3 linked regions of the Struthio camelus genome follow. The protein of the gene in region 1 purifies or fractionates together with the protein of each later gene. This does not show direct contact. Links are inferred from orthologs where the notes say so. Each region holds a gene or a part of one and is shown on either strand. Other genes may lie near its edges.

Evidence for each region.
Region 2: the proteins of MAP4K1 (region 1) and HSP90AB1 purify together in Homo sapiens (affinity purification with mass spectrometry; 3 studies listed by BioGRID and IntAct, with this or other methods). This does not show direct contact. The link is inferred for Struthio camelus from reciprocal best matches to the Homo sapiens genes MAP4K1 and HSP90AB1.
Region 3: the proteins of MAP4K1 (region 1) and NUDC purify together in Homo sapiens (affinity purification with mass spectrometry; 3 studies listed by BioGRID and IntAct, with this or other methods). This does not show direct contact. The link is inferred for Struthio camelus from reciprocal best matches to the Homo sapiens genes MAP4K1 and NUDC.

What each region holds. Positions count from the first base shown.
Region 1 is NC_090957.1:1,128,766-1,132,511, reverse strand, and holds the start of MAP4K1 (mitogen-activated protein kinase kinase kinase kinase 1), read left to right. Parts: upstream 1-1,080; 5' UTR 1,081-1,307; coding exon 1,308-1,406; intron 1,407-2,421; coding exon 2,422-2,479; intron 2,480-3,746. UniProt on the Homo sapiens protein: Serine/threonine-protein kinase, which plays a role in the response to environmental stress. Appears to act upstream of the JUN N-terminal pathway.
Region 2 is NC_090944.1:104,480,881-104,484,626, reverse strand, and holds the start of HSP90AB1 (heat shock protein HSP 90-beta), read right to left. Parts: upstream 2,573-3,746; 5' UTR 2,245-2,572; intron 2,154-2,244; coding exon 2,007-2,153; intron 1,830-2,006; coding exon 1,623-1,829; intron 1,305-1,622; coding exon 1,145-1,304; intron 964-1,144; coding exon 830-963; intron 360-829; coding exon 45-359; intron 1-44. UniProt on the Homo sapiens protein: Molecular chaperone that promotes the maturation, structural maintenance and proper regulation of specific target proteins involved for instance in cell cycle control and signal transduction. Undergoes a functional cycle linked to its ATPase activity.
Region 3 is NC_090964.1:6,807,296-6,811,041, reverse strand, and holds the start of NUDC (nuclear migration protein nudC), read left to right. Parts: upstream 1-1,245; 5' UTR 1,246-1,413; coding exon 1,414-1,509; intron 1,510-2,371; exon of another isoform or gene 2,372-2,502; intron 2,503-3,019; coding exon 3,020-3,097; intron 3,098-3,746. UniProt on the Homo sapiens protein: Plays a role in neurogenesis and neuronal migration. Necessary for correct formation of mitotic spindles and chromosome separation during mitosis. Necessary for cytokinesis and cell proliferation.

The sequences.
Region 1 (3,746 bases):
GGGGAGGGCCCTAGAGGGAGTCACACTGGGCCAGACTGGGCCCAGACTGGACGGCCACTGGGATGCCCACTTGGGGGGGGGGGTCACACTGGGCCAGACTGGAGCCACACTGAGGCCAAACTGGGCCCAGACTGGGATGGGGGGGGGACACTGGGATCAAACTGGGACCCAGCGGCCCTCAGACTGGGGGCACACTGGGGCGATACTGGCATTATACTGGGACCATACTGGGCTCACACAGAGGGCCAGGCTGGGGGGACTCCACCAGGACGATACTGGTGTCGTACTGGGGCCCACTGGGACCAGCCTGGGCTCACGCTGAAGCCACACTGGGCTGATACGGAGGCCATACTGGGGCATACTGGGAACACACTGTGGCCAAACTGGGACAATACTGGGACCGTGCTGGGGGCCATGCTGGGACGATACCGGTGTCATACTGGGGCCTACTGGGACTATGCTGGGCTCGCAGACCACACTGGGACGATACTGGTGTCATACTGGGGCCCACTGGGACCATCCTGGAGCTCACAGTGAGGCCAGAGTGGGGGGCCAAACTGGGCTGACACTGATGTCATACTGGGGCCAAACTGGGACCATCCTGGAGCTCACAGTGAGGCCAGAGTGGGGGGCCAAACTGGGCTGACGCTGGTGTCATACTGGGGCCCACTGGGACCATCCTGGAGCTCACAGTGAGGCCAGAGTGGGGGGCCAAACTGGGCTGATGCTGGTGTCATACTGGGGCCCACTGGGACCATCCTGGAGCTCACAGTGAAGCCAGCCTGGGGCCAAACTGGGACGATACCAGTGTCATACTGGGGCCTACTGGGACTTTGCTGGGCTCGCAGAAGCCACACTGGGGCCAAACTGGCGTCATACTGGGGCAGGGGGCGGGCCGAGCCCGGACGCCTGGGTCCCTTCCCCACCCTGGCGAGGCCTCGTGGTTAAAGCAGGCTTGAGGGAGGTTGAGGAGGGTTGACGTGAACCCGGACGCCTGGGCCCTTCCTCCCCCAAGAAGAGAGAGGTGGGGCCAGGCGAGGCTCCCCGGACGCCCGGGTCCCCGATGGGCCGTGCCTCAGTTTCCCCTTCCGCCGCGGTGCCTTGTGGGGCGGCGACGGCGGCGGTGGCCGTGGTGGCGGTGGCCGTGGTGGTGGTGGTGGTGGTGGAGGGCCACCACCTCCCGCGCCGTCCCGCGCCGCGTCCCCCCCACCCCGGGGCAGCGGCGGTTGGGTGGTGGTTGGGTGGGGGGGGGTGGTGACAGGGGAGGACGGGGGACACCCCCCCCCCCCGCCACCGCCCCCGCCGCCATGGACCCCCGGCGCCTCCGCATCTCCGCCCGCGACCCCCAGGAGGACTTCGAGGTCCTGCAGCGCCTCGGAGGTGGCACCTACGGCGAGGTCTACAAGGTGACACGGGCGCCCCGGGGGCGGGGGGGGGGCCGGGCATGTCCCCCCCCTCCCCACCCCACCCCAAACCCACCCCCGTCCCCCCACCCACCACCCCATCCCAGGCCCACCCCCCAACCCCAAACCCACCACCCCAAACCCACGTCCCAACCCCAAACCCACGTCCCAACCCCGTCCCCCTCCCCTCCCCAAACCCACCCCCAACCCCAAACCCACCACCCCAAACCCCCCACCCCACCCCAAACCCACCACCCCAAACCCACCACCCAACCCCAAACCCACGTCCCAACCCCGTCCCCCCACCCCACCCCAACCCCGTCCCCCAACCCCGTCCCCCCACCCCCCACCCCACCCCAAACCCACCCCCCAACCCCGTCCCCCCACCCCACCCCAGACCCACCCCCCAACCCCAAACCCACCACCCCAAACCCACCGCCCAACCCCAAACCCACGTCCCAACCCCGTCCCCCTCCCCTCCCCAAACCCACCCCCAACCCCGTCCCCCCACCCACCACCCCACCCCAAACCCACCCCCCACCCCGTCCCCCCACCCCACCCCAGACCCACCCCCCAACCCCAAACCCACCACCCCAAACCCACCCCAACCCCGTCCCCCCACCCCACCCCAAACCCACCACCCCAAACCCACGTCCCAACCCCGTCCCCCCACCCCACCCCAAACCCACTCCCCAACCCCAAACCTACCACCCCAGACCCACCCCCCAACCCCAAACCCACCACCCCAAACCCACCCCAACCCCGTCCCCCCACCCCACCCCAAACCCACTCCCCAACCCCAAACCTACCACCCCAGACCCACCCCCCAACCCCAAACCCACCACCCCAAACCCACCCCAACCCCGTCCCCCCACCCCACCCCAAACCCACCACCCCAAACCCACGTCCCAACCCCGTCCCCCCTCCCCATCCCAAACCCACCCCCCACCCCGTCCCCCCACCCCACCCCAAACCCACCCCCCAACCCCCGGCCCTGAGCCCCGGCTCCCCCCCCCAGGCCCGCAGCAAAGACACCGGCGAGCTGGCCGCCATGAAGGTCGTCAAGATGGAGCCAGGTGAGGGGGGGGGCGGTACCCACCCGAGGGGCCCAGGCGTCCGGGAGCCCCCCACCCGACCCCTCTGCCCCCCCCGAGCGCCTCGATGCCCCTTGGCACCCCTCGGTACCCCCCATATCCTTTAATACCCCCCGATACTCCCTAATACCCCCCGATACTCCCTAATACCCCCTCAATACTCCCTAATACCCCCTGGTACTCCTTAATACCACCAACAAGCCTTAATACCCCCCGATACTCCTTAATACCCCCCTGGTACTCCCTAATACCCCGTGGTACTCCCTAATACCCCCTCGATACTCCCTGATACCCCCTGGTACTCCTTAATACCACCAACACTCCTTAATACCCTCCCCTGATGCTCCTTAATACTCCTTGATGCTCCTTAATACCCCGGATACTCCCTAATACTCCCCCCACACGCCTTAATACCCCCAGAGACCCTCCAAACCCCTCTGTGATGCTCCTGGACCCCTCTGATGCCTCATGAGACCCCCCCAAACCTCCTGGACCACCCTGGGGCCCCCCAATAACCCCTGAGATGCCCCAGAGACCCTCCAAACCCCTCTGTGATGCTCCAGGACCCCCCTGATGCCTCATGAGACCCCCCCCAAACCTCCTGGACCCCCCTGAGGCCCCCAATAACCCATGATGCCCCAGAGACCCTCCAACCCCTCTGTGATGCTCCAGGACCCCCCTGATGCCTCATGAGACCCCCCGCAAACCTCCTGGACTCCCCCAGGATCCCTCAATAACCCATGAGATGCCCCAGAGACCCTCCAAACCCCTCTGTGATGCTCCAGGACCCCCCTGATGCCTCGTGAGACCCCCCCCAAACCTCCTGGACCCCCCTGAGGCCCCCAATAACCCATGAGATGCCCCAGAGACCCTCCAAACCCCTCTGTGATGCTCCAGGACCCCCCTGATGCCTCATGAGACCCCCCCAAACCTCCTGGACTCCCCCAGGATCCCCCAATAACCCATGAGAGGCCCCAGAGACCCTCCAAACCCCTCTGTGATGCTCCTGGACCCCCCTGATGCCTCATGAGACCCCCCCCAAACCTCCTGGACTCCCCCAAGATCCCTCAATAACCCATGAGATGCCCCAGAGACCCTCTGGTGCCCTGCAAAACATCCCAGCAACCCCCCCCCCGAGATGCACCTAGGACCCCCTTGGGACTCCCCAATACCCTCTGCTCCCCCCAGGATGCCCTGATACCCCCTGAGAAGCCCCTGAGCCCCATGACACCCCCAACCCTCCCCCAGG
Region 2 (3,746 bases), on another chromosome or scaffold:
AACATGGAGTGGAAAGGAATCCTTTCGTCTTTTTCAGCACCCACCTTGACAGCCAGGTGGTCTTCCCAGTCATTGGTGAGACTTTTGTAGAACTCGCCATATTCCTCCTGGGTGATGTCATCAGGGTTGCGTGTCCAGATGGGCTTGGTCTTGTTCAGCTCCTCCTGGTCAATGTATTTCTCCTTAATCTTCTTGGTCTTCTTCTTCTTCCCTTTATCTCCCTCTTCCTCCTCATCAGAGCCCACATCCTCGATCTCGGGTTTCTCCTCATCCTTGGAGGCTGACTCCTCCTCCTCCTTCTCGCTTTTCTCCTCTTCTGCTTCATCATCACTAATCTCTTTCTCACGCTCTTTCTCCAGCTGCCAGGAGAGGAACAAGAGAAAGTCAGGGCCATGAGCCCAAGCTTAGCCCCAAGCAAACACTATCAGGAGTCCTTTTGCCCCAGAGAAGAGGAACACACGCACTCCTGAGCGTAGCTGAAATCAGCTCCAAGAGACCTCTCATTGCTCACAGGACTAAGGGCTGGGTCTGAGGAGATGAAGTGAGGGGCAGAAAACTCTCCTGTCTGCAAGGCTGGTTTACATGATCTCTACACGCACAGAGATCAAGGGCCAGGAGCATGACTGGATGCCCCCCACCTGCAATAGGCCCCCAGCCTCAAAACACCTCCGGCCGAATAAGGCTGGGGACACCGTCGCTCAAAACACAGCAGCCAGGAACTGGAAGGGAACGGAAGACACACTACTCTAGTTTTCTCCATCTTTCTGTTCCCAACATACGTCTCTGCTCTAGCTTTCCAGTTGGTCCCCAAAGTCCTTCCCTTACTTACATAGAGTGTAATAGGGTAGCCAATGAACTGGGAATGTTTCTTCACCACCTCTTTGACACGCCGCTCCTCTAAGTACTCTGTCTGGTCCTCTTTCAGATACAGGATCACTTTAGTGCCCCGTCCAATAGGCTCACCTACAGTGTAGAAAGAGAAACGTTAGCGCTAGAGGCATAGGGCAGCTCCTTAGGCCCAGCCACTACCAGGTACTTCACGTTAACAAACTCGAGTTTGTTAACTCAAGTCCAGCCCAGGAGAACACCACAAAGGGGGGCTTTCTGGATGACAGAGATAAACTTACCTTTGTACAATACATACCATGGTCAGTCCGAACAGTGAAGGAACCCCCGGCAGATGACTCCCAAGCATACTGCTCATCATCATTATGCTTAGTAATAACCACAACCTTCTCAGCCACCAGGTAGGCTGAGTAGAAACCCACACCAAACTGCCCAATCATGGAGATATCTGCACCTGCCTGCGGAAGCAGAAAACGACAAATAAAGAGAGAAGGACGCAAAACATGCCTGCAAGTGATTCGCAGCAGCAGAGAACTAGGTCAGCAGGCAGAGATAAAGTGGGAAGTGCCCACAGGCAGGCAGCCCTACCCTGAGCTCCTCCCTGCTACAGGAGAGGTGGGGAAACATACGTAGGCAAGCCAACAGCTCCCACAGCAAGACAGAGGCAGGGCTGGGTGCTGACTGTCGGGCATGCTTCTATTGTAAGGAGGGGGTACACCCCAGTGAAAGTCTAGGGCCCAGGCTGCAAGAAGCCAACACAGCCAAAGGCAACCCACCTGCAGGGCTTCCATGAAGGCCTTGGTACCAGATTTAGCGATAGTGCCCAAGTTGTTGATGAGATCAGCTTTTGTCATCCCAATACCAGTGTCCACCAGGGTGAGCGTGCGGTCTCGCGGGTTGGGCACAATGTCGATCTTGAGGTCCTTGCCGCTGTCCAACTTGGAGGGATCAGTCAGGCTCTCGTAACGGATCTTATCCAGCGCCTAGGAGGGGGAGAGCAGAGCGCGTGCCTTGGCCTCGGGACTTCGCGGCCACCTCCCGCGGGCCGCCCCCGGCCCGGGCACCCCGGGAGGGACACCAGCCCGCCCCAGGGCCCGGGGAAGGAGAGGAGGGAGGGCAGGGGAAGGCCCCACGGGCGGGTGGGCCGAGGCGAGGCTCACGTCGGAGGCGTTGGAGATGAGCTCCCGCAGGAAGATCTCCTTGTTGGAGTAGAAGGTGTTGATGATGAGCGACATGAGCTGGGCGATCTCCGCCTGGAAGGCGAACGTCTCCACCTCCTCCTCCCCATGCTGCACCTCCTCAGGCATCTGCAAGGCAAGCACAGGCCGCTGGCACCGGGGGCACGGGGCGCCCCGGGCCGCGGCGGGGCGGCAGCGCGGGCGGGCCCGGCGCCCTTACCGCGGGCGGCGGCCGTTCCACACGCGGCGGCAGCTGACGGACCTAGAAAAGAGCAGCCGCCCCCTCCGACCCCTTTTTATAGCGACGGCGCCGCACCGCCCGCCGGCTCCTTCCGCCTTAAAAGGGCCTGGAGAGGCGCGGCGGGTCCCTGCGGCCGGGAGGCTCCTGCCTCACGCCGCATCCCGTCCGCGATGAAGGGAGAGCGAGGTCGCTTCTCCGAAGCGCCGTGCCCCTCCGTTGGGGGCCTGCAGGGTGGGTACCACAGACACCCCCGTGCTCCCCCTCCCCCCCACTGCCAGCCGCTGGGTGGGCCCCACTGCAACGCCCTTTTAACCGCGGCGGCGGACATGACTCGGGCACCTTCGGCCCGAGCGCCGCCCCCAGCTCCGCCCCGCCCCGCTGCCGCAGCTCCGCCCCCGGGGGGGCGACTGCCTGCCTGCCGCCGTCCCGGGGGAGGGACCGGCGGCCTTCACCGCCCCGCCGCCGCCATTCTCCGCGGCCTCCGCCCCCGGCGGGGTAGCGGGAGGGACTATTTCCCGCGGGCGGCGGAGGCGCACTGACGGCGGGTGGCAGCGAGGCGGCTCCTTCCAGAGGCTTCCACGGGACGCTCCGGCTGGGCAGGGTCGGGTCGGTGCCCACCCGGGGACCTCGGCCCGGCCCGGCCTGCCGCTCTCTCGGCTTCCCCCTGAGCCCCAGCGCCGGGGGAGAAGGGCCGAGGGGGGCACGGCCGCGGCCTGCCCGTGCGGGGACGCCCTGGGTCCTTCCCTGGCCGTGCTTGGAGCTGTGAGCAGCTCCTCAGCTCGGCTGATGGCGCGTTATTGTCACAGTCATCAGGATGCCCTCAAGTGCTAGAAGGGAGATGAGCTTTTTTAATCCCCCCGTTGGTGTTTCCTCGGCAGTGCCAAGGTGCAGAGCGGGGATCTAGGCTGGGGGTTGTATAGGAATGAGCTGGGGCGGCAGCAGACACGGTGCCAGAGGCCCAGGGCAGAGCTTGTGTGCCCTGCCCCCGCCATCTTCCTGGGGGTTTACGGCCGAGCAGAACAGCATGGGGGCTTCCTGTTTTAACTTCCTCGTGTGTCAGGATCTTTGGCCATGTGTGAAACACCAGCTGCAGGCTTGAGCACCTGTCGGTAGCTGTGGGGTGGGTGGGGGAGCAGCAGGGAAAGCCAGGGAAGCGTCAGCCCTTTGGGTAGTTTACAAGGCACCTTTTTATCCATATGCTACGTTGCTGGCAGCTGTCATGCGCAGGGCTCTTCACTCGGTGCAGGGAGACAACAGCTCCCCTGAGGCCGAGAGCCAAGCGCCGAGCAGCTGGCTCCAGGCGCATCTTTGGCTGATGAACTCGTGGCTCTGCTGTCCTGACCTTTCTGAGACTGTGGGTGCAAGCCAGGAGCGGACCGGGGCAGCGCGGAGGGGGAACACGCAGGATGGAGGAGACAGGCAGCAGCGGAAGGGCTTTGCGGGAGGACCTGCTGCAGGGGTCACGTCAGGGCTGAGGGGCG
Region 3 (3,746 bases), on another chromosome or scaffold:
TTGGGCGGCCTTATCACGATTACCCAAACAGTTTAAACAAAGTCATTAACCCAGCCTGTACCATGGCACCAAGGCCCCGCCGTGTAATCAGGCAGCACTATACGGCAGGTGTCACTGCCAAGAAGTTCACACACACACACACACACACGGCACTCGTCTGGAGCGAGGACCCTGGTGCAAACGGCCTGCATGCTCCGGCCTTGGGAAGAGCAACCTGGAAGTCGTTTTATCAGCAGATGTTTGCCCAACCTTGTTGACAAGGGACTCATGTTGTCACAGTTAAGGACGAGAAACCCAGTGAACTAAAAAGATTATAGTATTCAATCTGAGGCAGGGCCCAAAGGATCTTGTGTCACAAAGGAAATACGAGGCAGGGCAGGGTCAGGTTCTTACATTTTTGCCTTGAATTGCCAGATGGTTTTATCACTTGATGAACAGAAGTTGGTCTAGAAAAGTCTGGCCGCACCTGGTTACTTATTTCAAGGGGTCCAGCAACAAAGTGAGGAATTTCTATAGCAGGAAGGAGCCAGTGAGTCAGAAGACCTCACCCTCCTTAGGGTTAAGGCACCTCATCCCGAAGAAAGGCTGGCTACAAGACCGGTGCTGTAAATGGAAGGGAAATCCTACGTAGGGGGGCGTGGGAAGAGTTGCAGGAAGACCTAAAAGAGCCAAGAGGCAGGCAGGGGCCGTGCACGGAAGAGAGCAGCGAACACAAGAGAAGGTGGATCCTTCGGTCCCTGCAGATAAGCAGATCCCCGAGGGCGACCGGGCCGGCTTCTTTGCAGCTCAACGGCAGCGCTCCACAAGGCTGCTTTCCGTCACCTCCCTTCACACCGGCTGAATTTTAAGCCTCCGCGCCCCGGTCAAGAAAGCGCTGGGACGTTTCCTCGCAGCCCTGGCGGAACCAGCGCCGGGACAGAGCCGAGCGGCAGCGCGGCTGCCTGCCCGCAGCAGTCACGCCAAAACCAGGCGGGTTCAGACCCAAGGCTGGAGCCCCCTCAGGGCGAGGCCGCGGGGGGGGGGGTGGATCCCAGCAGCTGGCCCCCCCCCCGGCCGTGACCTCTGCCCTTTGACCTCGGGGAGGTAGCCCCCCCTCCCGTGACGTGCCCTCTGCCCTTTGACCCCTACCCCCCCCCCGGGGACACGCGGCCTCGCCGAGCTTTCTGGAAAGGCCCAGACCGGCCGTCGCTATAGCAACCAAACCCCGCGCCCCGCCGGTCCCGCCTCCCCGCGGCACATTGGACGCCGCAAAGGCCAATCCGCGAAGAGAGCGGGGCGGCCGGGCGCTCAGGATTGGCGGGCGGCGCGGGCCCTCGCGCACCGCCTTCCGCTCGCGTCGCTTCCGCTTCCGGTCGCCGGCGTGAGGGGCTGAGGGGGCCGTTGGCGGCGGCGGGCCCTACCACCACCATCACCATGGGGCTGAGCGCGGAGGAGGCGGCGGAGCAGGAGGACCGCTTCGACGGCATGCTCCTGGCCATGGCCCAGCAGCACCAGGGCGGCGTGCGCGAGGTAGCACCGCCGGGCCTGGACCCGAGCCCGGGCCGTGGCGGGAGCTTTTACGTGTTCCCGGGGCGGGGGGCGGAGTGAGTGGGGGAGGGGCGGGCCCCGAGGCAGGGGGCGGAGGCAGCCGCGGCCCGGCCTCCCTGGGACGAGGGTCTCCGGGAGCCCCGGGCCCTCCCCGGTGGGCACGTGTGTCCCAGCGCCCCGTCGTTGGGGGTTCCTGCTCTCGGCGCCCCCGGGGGGACCTGGAGCCCAGGAGGCGCGGAGGAAGGGCTAATTAGCGCCGTGCTGATGAGGGCCTGGGGGGCCCCGGCCATGCCCCTCGGCTTCCTGCCGCCTCCCGCGGCCGTCTCGTCGCCCCTGAGCAGCTGGGGCGTTTTATGGGTGGGTCGTTCGCACTCGTTCAAGTTAACACCGTTGGCTTGCTAGAGGCGTTAGAGGCGTGTGGAAAGGCAGATCCCTCTCCGTATTGCAGCGAAACTAGACACTGCATGGGGAGGATCAAGTCGAGCTGTCACACTCTCAGCATGACCGTCTGAGAGCTGCCTTGTGAGACCTGATGTGTTGGCTGCAGTCATAAAATAGGCAGAAGTATGCCTAAGCATGAATACAGTTTCCCTTCCCTCACTGTAGCTGCATTACTGATACTCTTTGCACTCACATTTTCTGATGTGACTCTTGCTGGAGGCTGCTCAGAGGGTCTAGGTGATGACATGCAGCTAGATTACTACAGTTCTGGGGAACATCCCCCACCCACAGGTGGTCTGGGGAAATGATGTTAATAACAGCTCTTCCTACTGGACTGAAGCTTCTGATTGAAATACTGACAAAGACATTATTCCTGGAAAAGAAGAAAGAGAAACCATACTCATTGAGATTATTTCTTGCAGGTGTATTCTAGTATGTCAGTTCACAACTTCTACTTCATCAGGGACACCTGACAGGCAGTTCTGTCTTGTCGCATGTCTTGCAGGGCGCAGACCACCATCCGTTGCTTCTAGGCTGTTAGTGGGTAGCAAACGTGTTAGTCTTTTGTAAAAGTAAACAAGTCACAGAGCTGGGGAAGGTGGGTTTGCAAGCTCTGAGGGCTTAGACAACCAAAGAAGTGAATTTATAGTATACACGTGTATCTATATACATGTATGTGTATATTTAATTAAAAAAGAAGTTCCAGCGTCAGATGGGTCTAAGTAACAGCTTGGGATTTCAAAGTTGATGCATCTCCAAGGGAAGATGGCCTGAGAATGAACTGCTTCCCCTTTCTTCATGTAAAACACAAAAATGCATCTTCTGAAAATTGGGAATCCGTAAGCTGGATCTCCACAAAAGTCCTCAGTTTTTTTGCTGGGAAACGGTAATGGGTTTGACTCTAATATGATCCTAACACAGACATAGGCAGGAAGTAAAAAGAAGAACAAAGACTACTGAGGAGACAGGGGATGACTGGGAGTGATCTGGTCTCATTGCTCTTTTTTTTTTCCTCTTTACCCCAACCCCTACCCTCTGTTTCCTCAAACAGCTTGTGAACACATTCTTTAGTTTCCTGAGGCGGAAAACTGATTTCTTCACTGGTGGCGAAGATGGAGTAGCAGAAAAGGTATTTAAAAAAAAAAAAAAAAGTCATTCTAACTTACATACTCTCTGTGCCATGCTAAGACTTCCCTTCCTGAATAACTCAAAGCATTCCTCCCAATACACCTGGGAACCAGCAGTCTGTGATGTTGGTGAAATACACCTCTGAAACAAGGTAATAATAAGCTACCCCTATCTGAGGTGAGGCATGATGGCTTGTTCAAATGATACCAATGGTGCAAGTTTTTGCCACGCTCTGGCCAAAGGCCTGTTTGAAAAGCAAATCTGCCAGACGCTCTGACTTAACGGTGACAGACACTGCAGTGTTGATAACCCCAGGTTACCTTGTTTGTTCATCTCAGAAAAATTACAAAGTCCACATCCCTGCACATGCTGCTGCCCCTTTGTCTCTGTGCTGCAGTATTTGTACGGACTGAACACGCCAGAGAGCAAGCCCGAGGATCGAGGCTACCTTGTTGGCCTGAGAGAACTGAATGTCTTTGATATCCAGCAGGTATTCCTGACCCAGCACAAGAATTGTAAAACTAACTAGTTTCTTTGTAGTGAAATAAGGACCAGAGCATTGAAACATCAGTTAGCGAGACTTTCTGAAGGTTTCTTGCTTGTGCTTACCAGTATATCAACAGTTACCTTTTCTTTCAGAATGCTGACTA